2 linked regions of the Caenorhabditis elegans genome follow. The protein of the gene in region 1 interacts with the protein of each later gene in a pairwise test. Each region holds a gene or a part of one and is shown on either strand. Other genes may lie near its edges.

Evidence for each region.
Region 2: the proteins of syx-17 (region 1) and wve-1 interact in a two-hybrid assay, tested with the Caenorhabditis elegans proteins (one large-scale study listed by BioGRID).

The regions. Positions count from the first base shown.
Region 1 is NC_003279.8:8,642,524-8,646,959, reverse strand, and holds syx-17 (t-SNARE coiled-coil homology domain-containing protein), read right to left. Parts: upstream 2,501-4,436; 5' UTR 2,462-2,500; coding exon 2,360-2,461; intron 2,261-2,359; coding exon 2,145-2,260; intron 2,097-2,144; coding exon 1,977-2,096; intron 1,933-1,976; coding exon 1,677-1,932; intron 1,075-1,676; coding exon 963-1,074; intron 889-962; coding exon 842-888; 3' UTR 656-841; downstream 1-655. Other genes in the region: Peptidyl-prolyl cis-trans isomerase sig-7, read right to left, coding at 307-509; mog-7 (GCF C-terminal domain-containing protein), read right to left, coding at 2,738-2,786, 2,835-3,094, 3,405-3,658, 3,741-3,885, 3,931-4,246.
Region 2 is NC_003279.8:11,924,040-11,931,780, forward strand, and holds wve-1 (Wiskott-Aldrich syndrome protein family member), read right to left. Parts: upstream 5,478-7,741; 5' UTR 5,469-5,477; coding exon 5,332-5,468; intron 5,283-5,331; coding exon 4,679-5,282; intron 3,409-4,678; coding exon 3,082-3,408; intron 1,745-3,081; coding exon 1,667-1,744; intron 1,497-1,666; coding exon 1,236-1,496; 3' UTR 502-1,235; downstream 1-501. Other genes in the region: R06C1.4 (RRM domain-containing protein), read left to right, coding at 6,768-6,795, 7,295-7,373, 7,449-7,596.

The sequences.
Region 1 (4,436 bases):
ACGAAAGCAATTTTTGGGGCAATTCTGCAAGTCTTGAAAATAGAAAGGATACATTGAGAAATTTCCAGAGAAAAAACACCAAGGGCTGTAGATTTTTTGTTTTCACTTTTGCCGAAAAAAAGTATTTTTCGCTTTTTTTGAAAACAAAACGATGCAAAATATTCTTAATTTGACATTTTTCCAAAAAATTACACTCGAAATTATTTTTTTAAACTTTTTTTTTTCTTGTTCAGTTAAACATATTTTTTCTTTTTGCAAAAAAACAATTTTTTTTGAATTCAGCCCTGATACGGATAATGATCGTACCTATAAACAGATTCTCCTCCTTTTCCAGTTCCAGTCGGGTCACCTGTCTGTGCTACGTAATTTCTCTCAATACTATGAAACTGGTTGAGATTGTAGTACTTCTTTTTGCACAATTTCAAAAAATTAAGTGAACATCTGGGACGTTCTTTCACGAATAAATCGATTATAAGGTCACCAAGTGTAGTTTCAATTAAAACTGCCATCTGAAAACTTTTTTGATTTTTTTTTATTTCAAAAAAAATCCGAAAATCTAGGATATCTGTTTTCTTTTGTTTGAAAAATCGAGGAAAAAAAATAAGAAAATGGTTTCGCAACCTAATTTGAAAAGAACCAGAGAATTGAAGTATTTCTAAAAAAGCTGTTCATTTAATTTACATTTTGACATAGCAGAAAAATGATCCCGAAAACGATGGAATTTCATGCAAATAACCCCGAATCAATGGTCTAGGAAATCTCTATCAATAATATAATACAGTAAATGGAAACAAAATGATGAAAATAATAATGTACATTATACAGATAGAATAAAGAACTCTCAATCACTCGTGGCCGATCGTTTGAAAAATTTCCCGGTGTAGATTGCTGAAAAACTTTATTTTTATTTTTAATTTAATTTAATTTTTGTTATTTTAATTTAATTTTTGTTATTTACTTACTAGCGACTAAACCTCCGACACCAGCTGCAATTCCAGCAATAGCTGATCCAGCTGCCAATCCAACAGGCCCTCCGACTGCAAGTCCACCCACAACTCCGGCATAAAGTGGAGCCTGAAATTCAATTTTTGAAGGTGAAGTAGTTCAAAAATCAGAAAGAGAATAAGCACAAAAAACACTAAAGAGTGAAAAAATCCCACTTTTCAATTTTTTAATTCCCTGTTTGAATTTCCTCAAAAATGAGAACTTCCCGACCAATCAACATCTTCGAACTCCGCCCACTCAGTCTAATTGGTGGAAAAGTGGGTGGAGCGAATCGCTGATTGGTGGCAACTTTAATTTTTGAGAAATTTCAAACGGGAGATTAGAGCCAAAAATGAAAAATCATAATTTCAAAATTTGGATTATTTTTCGTGATTATTTTCGTTTTTTCTTGGAGGGTTTTCTTAATTGATACGATACAAAATACAAAATTTTAAAGCAAAATGCCATTCGGTACTCCACTTTTAATAATTTCTATATTAAAAGTGTTCATATTTTTCTCAATAAAATAAAAAATTTTTTTGAAAATTTCTAACAAAAAATTTGCAGCTCATGAAATCGATAAAAATTTGTTCCTGTTTATTTATGGATTTTTTTCTGAATTTGAGACGATTCTAGAAATTTTTGAAGCAAAATCCCCATACTCCAACTTTAAAATCAAATAAAATCAATACCTTCGCCGCTTTCGATTTCACAGCTTTTTTCAAATTCTCATTTCCTCGTTTAACATCTTCAGTTGCTCTTTCAACCTGCTCCTCAATTGAATCTACAACATCATGTTGTTCGTGAACAATTCTTCCAAGTTCTTGAAATATTTTCTCTAAATCAGCCATATCCTTTTCAATTTTCACTGTCGCTTCAGCCCGTTCCTTCATATCATCTGCCAATTGTCGTAGTTCATTGTCTTTCAACGTTGTTTCTCGGAGGTATCTGGAAATATGAAAATTATTGTAAATTCTTTGATAGTTTCCTACCTTCGTGATTCCATTTCATATGGATTATCGTCTTCTGTTGCTTGTTCAAAAGGATTTGATCCGGGTAAATTGACAGCGGGTAGGGATCTTGTCACATTTAACAAGGTTTTAATTTGCTGTCTGCAAAAATTTGAGCTAACTATTTTTTGTTAAATAATTTTGGAATACCTGATAGGGTCAATTATAGAATCAAATTCATTTTCTTGTCGTGAATCATGCAACTCTCCACGAACTGTGAGAATACCACGTAATCCATCTTCCAAATCTTTTTCATATGCTGCTATCTGAAATTTTTTTTACAATTTAATTTTATAATTTCAGCTGGGAGTTTTTAAAAACTTTTTTTTTTCTCAAATTTTCGTTTTAGTGGTTTAAAAACTGACCGAATCTCTAAGCGCAGGTGTATCCCTGAGTCCTCCTTGTAACGCTATTCTCTGTAAAACTCTCAGCTCTCCTAATTGTCGATTCGCAGTTTTTTCATACATGCGCACTAATGTGCTAAATCTTTGAGCAAGTGTACTCATCTAAAAATTGATTTCTTTTGTGAAAATCTGAACAACTGAAACATAAAGCAAATGAAAATAATGGCAAGAAAATAGCTCGATGATCAAAAAACATTTTGATAAGGAATAGAATGGGAATGAAAATAAAATAAATAATTCATTATTTTGTAAATTTGACAGAACAGAAAGAGAAGGAAATAAAAAAAATTAAAAACTAATTGATGAAACCGGTTTTTTATGCTTTTTTTCAGAAATCAATCACCGCTCGAGTTTCTCCAAAAACTTTCGAATCTCCTTGTGGAAGCTCCTGAAAAATAAATTATTTTCATGAATAATTTGATTTCATGTCACTTACCTTCCTGCTTTACTCTGCTCTTCAGCAATTAGCTCGAGTGTTCCAATTAATTGACGAAATGATGTTCTTCCACCCATTTTCAAAAGCGAATCATCAAGCTCGGCGAGCAATCCCCGAACCTTTCGTTCAGCAGTCACGTCGTTTTTCGAACCAGTACGAAGAGCCATAACACATTGAGAGTTGACACATTTTTCAACAACCAATTCAAATCTGGCGGCAATTGATATCAGTGGTGAGAGGGCATTTATCGATTTTATGAGCTGTAATTTTTTTTTTGGAAATTTTGAAAAAAGGGGTTTCAAACATTATATTTCGAGATATTCAAAATAGCTATTTATGTTGTACTAAAAAGTTTCTGAAAAGAGCTGTCGGCAAAAAATTTTGGGTTTTCGCGGTTTTTCAGAGAAAAAATAAGGAAAAGTTTATGAAAAATCGAAAAATCTTTAAAAAAAGGAAATTTTTCAACGTTCTCAAATCCAACACCCTTAATTCTATGGAAATCAATTATCTTTTTTTTCAACCAATTTTCTCGATGTTTTTGTATTGTTTTAGTGATAAGATAAGTATTACCTTAATACAAGTCCAAAATTGTCGATCGTGAAATTGTCGACAAATAGGTTGTTCAAGAGCATTTGGCATGAAAATTGGCATAAAAAGATCTTCAGAAATACAATCACAAATTCGTTCTCGAATTGCATTTAGAAATGCGTTGAATTGCTTGCTTTTTTCCGTCAAATTTGGCAGTTTTTCAAAAAGTGAACAAAATGTTGTGAGATGACGAGTTTGTCGAAGAGACATTGGATCCCATTCCTCTTTTACGGTATCTGTAATATGGTTTTTGAAAAATAATTTTTGTTTGGAAAGCAGAAAAATCACCAAAATTTGATGAAAGTTTCAAAAACAAACCTATTAAAAATGGAATCACAACTTTTTCAACGATGGCTGGCGCCAGCTCGACTAGGATTTCATGACTTTGATCAATTTCTGCATTTTCTGAGCCAGCAAGCATTGCGATATGGAACCATTGCATAGAAGTTAAGATTGTTTCTTTCTGAAATTTTTTTTTTGTTTTGTAAAGCTATACAAAATTACTTACTCTAAGAAAATCCGCTCTGAGTATCTGTAGTCGAACATACGGAGAGCTCAACTTTGGAATACACAAATAAACATAAGCATCCTGAAACGACTTCGGATCAACTGCCAACCAATCCGTCATCCGTCCAAAAACTTTTCGAAGATCAGAATACTCATCTAGAGCATCTGCAAATAAAACAGAAGCAACTGCTTCCACTTCATCACAGATCTTTTGATCATTCATTGACTGGGGAGTTGGTTCTTCATCATCTGTACTTAATCCTTCTTCATGATTAATTCTAGCAAGTGTAAATTCACGTTCTCGACGTCGACGGCCTCTGAAATATATAAATATATAGATTTTGATAGAAATAATCTGAACAAGAATGAGATTTTTTTTTCTAAAAAGTGAAATGTCATAGTTGTGAGAGATCGTCTATTGTCATATGGGAAATATTTTCACATGATTATTGCGAAATAGAAAAAAAAATTGAGTATGAATATCTATGTGTGCGATGAAAGAAAATA
Region 2 (7,741 bases), 3.3 Mb from region 1:
CAATTTCGAATTTTTCAGCTGAAAACTGAGCTAAAATGAGCCAAAAAACACGATTTTCAATTGAAATTTCGAGAAAAAAAAAGCTAAAAATTGAATTTTCGAATAATTTGGGAATTTTGGAGCTCCGATGCGTAGAAAACAAATTTTTGCATGAAAAATTGCAATTTTCTGCGAAAAATCAAGAGTTTTCCAGGAAATATGTCCAAATTCCGCTGAAAATTTAAATATTTTCGTAAATTCGAGAGAAATGATGCAAATTTCATAAAAATGTGCTCCAAATTGGAAATTTCACGTTTTTTTTCCGGAAAAATCGATTTTTCACCAAAAATTGAAAATTTTAAGCGAAAATTGAAGTTTTCCTACATTTCAAAGGTTTAAATTGATTTAAATTGAAAAAAAATCGAATAAAAATTGGAAAAACTGATGAATCATAAAATTGCGAAATAATAATGAGGGGGCAGGCGACCACTTGGAAATTTAAATTTACAATTCTGGAGGGGCAAAAAATGAGAAAAATCAGTTCATTTGAAACAGGAAAGCGGAAAAAATTTTAAAAATTTTTGAATAAATAAATTAAAGCAAGGCAGTATTTACACAAGAAAATTCGAAAAAGTGTGCGTCGATTTACGCAGCTCGTGTAGTCCCCGAGGAGAAGATTTTACAGTTTTTTGGCTTAAAAATGCTTGATTTTCGCTATTTTTCTATCAAAATTAACATTTAAACCGGTTATTTATAGCGTTTTAAGTGAAATTTGAGCGATTTTAAAGTTTTCACCGACAAAAAAAAACCGTGAAAATAGCGAAAATGGCTCAAAATCAACCATTTTAGCAAAAAAAAGTACTTGATTTTGAGCCATTTTCGCAATGTTCACGGTTTTTTTTTTGGCAAAAATCAATGAATTATTTTTATTTTTAACTTTAAAAACACTCAGATTTCACTTAAAAGTGCATAAATAACCGCTTTGAATGTTAATTTTCAAGTAAAAATAGCGAAAATCAAGAATTTCAGCGAAAAATCGTTTTTTTTTTCACCGAAAAAATCAGTAAAAATGCAAAAATGGGTAATAATGCTTGATTTAGAGCTATTTTCACGGGTTTTTCGCTTAAAAATCACCGCTTTGAATGTTAATTTTCAAGGAAAAAATAGCGAAAATCAAGCATTTTTAGCCAAAATCTGTAGAATCTTCTCCTCGAGGAGTACACGAGATCTGCGTAAATCGACACAAAAGAGAGCAATTAATCATCCCATTCATCATCATCAGCTCCTTCTTCACTACTTGAATCATCATTTCCCATAACTTGATCCATTCGTCTCTTCAATATCGCCGCAACATTATTCGCCTCGAGAGCAGCATTCTCGGCGGCTTCTGCCTCGGCTCTTTGCACTTTTTTCAGCTTTATTCCAGATTGAATTTGAGCCAAAAGATCACTTCGAGCATCTGGTTGTTTTGGAGCAACTGGGGAATTTGTGCCAGCAGCTTCACCGTCCGCGGATGGCTGAAAATTTCAGTTTTAGTGGGAGAAAATCGATTTTTTGATGAAAATTCGGCTATTTCTCTTGAAATTTGTCCCTAAAAAAGCTTCAAAAAAGTCCAAAAAACACAGGAAAACTACACATTTTCAGCGGGTTAGACACACATAGAGCCCTGCTGTTCCAGCGCCTTTACCTTTGGAGCCGGAGCTGCAAATGACGCTGCAGCCGAGCTTATAACCATTGGAGGTGGTGGTGGAGGTGGTGGAGGGATCTGAAAGGGATCGAGAATTGAAGAAAGAAGCGGAAAGTGGACAACAATGAGGGAAACACAAAAATGGACAAAAATTGCAAATTTTTAACTGAAAAATTCGGGGTTTTAAGCTTGGAAATTGCAGAAATATAGCTTCAAATTAATTTTATGCACTACAAGAAATCTTGGAGCTTTTCACAAATTTCCAAGCTTTTCCAAGCTGTTTCAAGCTTTTTAAGCTCATCGAAGATATTTCAAGCTCAGTCAGGCTTTTTTAGCTTTTCCAGGCTTTCGCAAGCTTTTTCGAGCTCGTCTAAGCTTTTTGACGCCTTTTCCAAGCTCTTTCAGGCTTTACAAGCTGTTTCAAGCTCGCACGAGCATTTTGAAGTTTTTCCAGGCTTTTTTAAGCTCTGTAAGCTTTTCGAAGCCACTATCGTTCTCTTTCAAGCTGTTTCAAGCTGTTTAAGCTCATCGAAGCTATTTCAAGCTCAGTCAGGCTTTTTCAAGCTTTGTCAAGCTTGTTCAAGCTCCTCCAAGCTTTTTCAAGGCGTTTCCAAGCTTTTTCAGGCTTTTCCCAACTCTTTCAGGCTTGCTCAAGCTTGGTCAAGCTTGTTCAAGCTCCTCCAAGCTTTTCCAGGTTTTTCCAGGCTTTTTCAAACTATTATAAGCTCGTTAAGCTCATTCAAGCTATTTCAAGCTCTGTCAGGCTTTTCCAAGCCTTTTCAAGCTATTACAAGTTCGTTTAAGCTCTACAAGCTTTTCCAGGCTTTTTCTTGCTCTTTCAAGCTTTTCCAAGCTTGTTCAAGCTTTCTTAAGCGTTTTGGAATCTTTTCCTGTCTTTTGCAGGCCTTTTCAAGCCTTTTCCAGGGTTTTCCAAACGTTTTCAAGCCATTTCAAGGTTCTCCAAGCTTGTTCACTATTTTTTCAAGCTCTTTAAGCTTCTCCAAGCTAGTTCAAGCTCTGTCAGGCTTTCCAAACTTGTTCAAGCTTTATCGTTCTCTTTCAAGTTCTTCCAAGCTAGTTCAAGCTCTGTCAGGCTTTTCCAAGCTTTTCCAAACGGTTTCAAGCCGTTTCAAGCCTTTCTAATAGAGTTCAACCAATTTTTCGTGATTTCGTGGCCCAAATGAACAAATTAAAGCGAAAAAGCGAGATTTTGCCTGAAAAAGGCTTAAGGCTTCTAAACGCTCATAATAACTTAGAATAATAGAGACTTTTCACATTTTCTAGTTTTTTCAAGCTTTTCCAAGCTTTTTCGTCGTGAAAACGGACAATTTAAAGCAAAAACGCAAGCTTTTTTCCTCGCAAAAACCAAGATTTTACTCCAAAATCTCCAAATTCTCTCGAGCTCCAAAACGTACATTAGTCGGCGGAGCAGCACTCGGCTCGACAAACTGTATCGTCGACGGAGCTTCTGCTGGTAACTGATGTACAATTGATGTATTCATGAGAAGCGGTGGTGGTGGTGGTGGAAGATCATCATCATCATCATCAATCGATAAAATTGACATATCCGGTGGTGGGAGGTGATCCAGATTCACTGGCGGCGGAGCTTCAGTCGGACGTTTAACATTCGGAGATCCACGAGCTGCTGCTGGAGCACCACCTCGTTGTTGGCTCGGATGCACATTTTGTTGAGGATGATGGTGCATTGTCATTCCGATTGGGGCAACCATGTTGGAGGGGTGCTGAATTTATCAAAAATTGGGAGATTTTCAGTGGAAAAAATCGTTTTTTTCTTCAAAATTACTCCCAGAGAAGGATATTTGGGCTTAATTATCGATTTTTCAGAGTTTTTTTGTCATTTGGAGCATGAAATTTCTTAAAAATTCACTGAAAACTTCCAAAAAACTCGAGTTTTCAGCCTCAAAGACAAGCCAAAATCAATGAAAAACGTTTTTCAACAGAAATGTTTCACTTTTTCACTAAAAATATGCTGAAATTGATAAGTTTTTTTGGAAAAATCCCTAGAAACCGTACAAATTAATTATAAAAACCCTATAAAATCGAATTTTTCAACGAAATCCTCTAGAATCCATAACTTTTCAGCTTCAAAATTATTTGTTCCCATTGAAACTTTCGACTTTATAGGATTTTTATAGTTAATTTGTAGGGTTTCTAGCGATTTTTCCAAAAAAAAAATTATCAATTTTCGCATATTTTTAATGAAAAAGTGGCACTTTTCTGTTGAAAAATTATTTTTTCTAAGGAATTTCCCACTAATTTCATTGATTTTCGCTTGTTTTTCGGTGAAAACTCGGCTTTTTGGAAGTTTCTAGTGAATTTTTATGAAATTTCAAGCCCCAAATGGCTAAAAAACCCAAATATTGGCCCAAAATAGAGAATTTTTGCCTTCTCGGGGAGCACAAGAGCTGTGTAAGCGCTGAAATCTCGTTGAAAAGTTGATTTTCTTTTTAAACAATAGAAAATTCACTTTTTCAGCAAAAAACTCGATTTTTTTTCAAATTTTTGGGCTCAATTATCGATTTTTTCCGATTTTCAACGGTAAAAAATCATTTGAAGCGGAAAAGCTGGGACTTCGTTGAAAAATTCGATTTCATAGTTTTTTTGAAGTTAATTTGTAGGGTTTCTAGCGATTTTTCCAAAAACTTATCAATCTTCGCAGATTTTAATGAAAAAGTGACTTTTTCTCATTGATTTTGGCTTGTTTTTTGGCGAAAAAGTGCATTTTTAGGAAATTTCATGCTCCAAATTACTGGAAACCCATAATTTTGCCCCAAAATAGAACATTTTGGCCTGCTCGGGGAGCACAAGAGCTGTGTAAGCGCTGAAATCTCGTTGAAAAGTTGATTTTCTTTTTAAACAATAGAAAATTCACTTTTTCAGCAAAAAACTCGATTTTTTTCAAATTTTTGGGCTCAATTATCGATTTTTTCCGATTTTCAACGGTTTGGAGATTTTCTCTTCAAAAAATCGAAAAATCTCGCGAAAATCTACCTGATTTTTAAAGTTAAGCTGAAGCCCGAGAGCCTGCGGAGCCTGATATTCCTCCGGGAACGAGAAAACTTCATTCTGCTGATTAATCCGTGATCCACTAATCTGTCGATTCCTATGCTGCATATCATTATAGGCCGTCGTGCCGAGAGGGCCTTGTCCAGGCTGCTTCCGCCGCTTTTTCGGGCTTTTACTCCCGTCGTTCGGGCTTTTTACCCGTCTGGGCCGTTCGGCAACCTCTTTTAGTGTCTCCTTTTTCCATAAATCGAAGAAAAACGAGGGATTTGTGTAGAGAGAGAGCGCAGGGATTTCAGAGTCTCTATACGGATTTAGAGCATCAAGATCCGGCGGTGGATCACATTTTGCATATATTTCAGTCAATGCTGTAGGTAAAGTGCTTCTATCCAGAATATGTTGATCTACAAGCATTGAACTTTTGAATGCTTTTCGCATATTCGCTTCATTCAACGTTGCTTGATCGGAATTTGAATCCAAATCTTCAACTTTCTTGTGCAATCTATCAATTCTCTGTTGAAGAGTGTTCGATTTGTGATTTATTATCATTGCGTCGTGATAAATCTCTCCGAAGATGTTCTCAGCGTGCTTACTGCAAAAAAAAATCGATAAAATTCCAGTTTTCCGACCTAATTTCCCACCTCAACGAGCTCAATTGTCGTACTAAATTGGCGATTGTCCCATTAGCAGTACATTGAAGCTCATCACGATGGATTGTTGATGGAATTGTGCCTCTGCTGAGGTTTACCGGTGATACCGCCCGTTTTGTTAGAGGCATTGCTGAAAATGTGCAGAAATTGCGGGATTATGTGGGTGGAAATTGCGAGAAAGCGTTAGAATTCACAGAAGATGACTTGAAATCGAAAAAAAATCACTTTCTTCCCTGAATAATATGTAAAAATCCATGGATTTAATGGAAATTGGCACGAAAATCGTGAAAAAAATTAGTTAAACATAAAAATTCACTGGAAACTTCATAAAAGCGAGCAGCCAAAATCAATGAAATTAGTTGGAAAATTCCACGAAAAACTCTAATGTTAATGGTAAACACGAAAATGCACTGGAAAAATTATAAAATTGAGTTTTTTAAACAGAAAAGCCACTTTTTTAATAAAATTATGCTGAAATTGGTAACTTTACCGGGAAAAATCGCTAGAAAACATATAAAATTGCTTCATTTACATGCTAAACCCACAAATTCACTGAAAAACTTATAAAACCTAATTTTCCAACGAAATATCATAAAATACATAGTTTTTCAGCTTCAAAATTATTATTTCTGTCAGAAAATGTTTTTTTTCATCGGAAAAACTGCAAAAAACGAGGAAAAACCAATAAAATCTCATGTTTTTCAATTAAAATATCATTAATCCAGAAATGCGCCAAGGTGCACCCGGGATGCGTCAGCAAACACTCACGAGAAGTGCGCAAGCGAGCGTCTGCACTCTCTCGAATACATACAGTGTCTCGCTGTGATTCATCGGAAATATTTTCATTTCCGGAAATGTTTTATATTTATTTAAATATTAATTTTTTTCGGTCTAAAAAATGATATACAAAACAAAAAATCGATACAGGAAAATGCGAAAATAGAATGAGATTGAAATTTCAATATTTACTGTTCAAAATATTCAAAATATCGTGAAATGGCGAGGTTTCGGAGAGATGGTCCTTTTTATTTATCAATGAAATTGTTCTAATTCTGAGAAAAATAACAAAATATAGCTAAATTCTCAATTTTCGCCAACTTGGTTGTGTCACAGAAGCTAAAATTCATTTCGAATACCGAGCCCGTACAGTAGTCATTTAAAGAATTACTGTAGTTTTCGCTACGAGGTATATTTCGCGTCAAATTTGTTACGTAATAAGCATTTCACTTTCCCAACAATTGCCGATTTCTTCTCCAAAATATCCCTCCCGTAAACCTACACAAAATCGACCGTAGTGCGGCACGTTCGCTGCGAGACCCGCCGCGCGTTTGGCCTCAATCTTTTTAGGACTGCCAAATTCGATCGAACATTTTTAGTCTGTCTTCCACGCGGAAACACACTCGTTTTTCTTCAAAAAAAAATCTATCATGGCTTCCCAAGGATTCTCCGTCTACGGTAAGTATAGTAATAAATCGGTGGTGAAAATTAAATTTAAATTTGTACAAATTTTGAATATGATACAAAATTCTCAAAACTTCTGAAACTTTCTCACACTTTTCTTCGATGAACTTTTCTTCGACTTGCAGAAAGTATCGATTTCTGATAATTGTTAGCGTTTTCCGATCGGCCTTCGTTCTCTATGGTTCATTCGTGTTCCTTGACAACAAATCCCGATATTTCAGGTAGTCCCCTTCCACGTGTATAAGTATAACTGAGTCTACTAACTGAGTACCCGGGACCCCACACGGATCGCCACACAATTCTGGAAATGGAGACGCCGTTCGACCACAAAAAGTATGGGTGAAGAGACTTTTCGCACTGTCATGGTCTCCGTAGTCTAGGACTAGGATAGGGTGCATTTGCTCTGTAACAGTGCATTGTGAGAGTTTGTAACTTTCTATATATAGGCCAAAACCTACTATTACCCCCGTTTTGCTAATCGATTTTTTTCTAGTTGGAAACGTTCCATACCAAGGAACTGAGGAGGAGATCGGAAACTACTTCGCCGCCGTCGGACATGTTAACAACGTCAGGTAAGAGAACTCAGAAACTCAGAAACTCGGAAACTTTCGATTAAAACCTTGTCAAAACTAATCAATGTCTTCCAGAATCGTGTACGATCGTGAAACCGGACGCCCACGCGGTTTCGCATTCGTCGAGTTCTCCGAGGAAGCCGGAGCTCAAAGAGCCGTCGAACAACTTAACGGAGTTGCCTTCAATGGACGCAACCTTCGTGTCAACTACGCCAACAAGTAAACTGACAACGCCGCCGAGTGACTCAAAGAGATTGCACTTGTGATATACATTCCACCAAAAATTCTATCTTCGTGCATGTTTTTCACCATCTACACTTAAATAATAAATCTTTTTGAAAACTGAAAACTTCGAGCATTTTTTCACA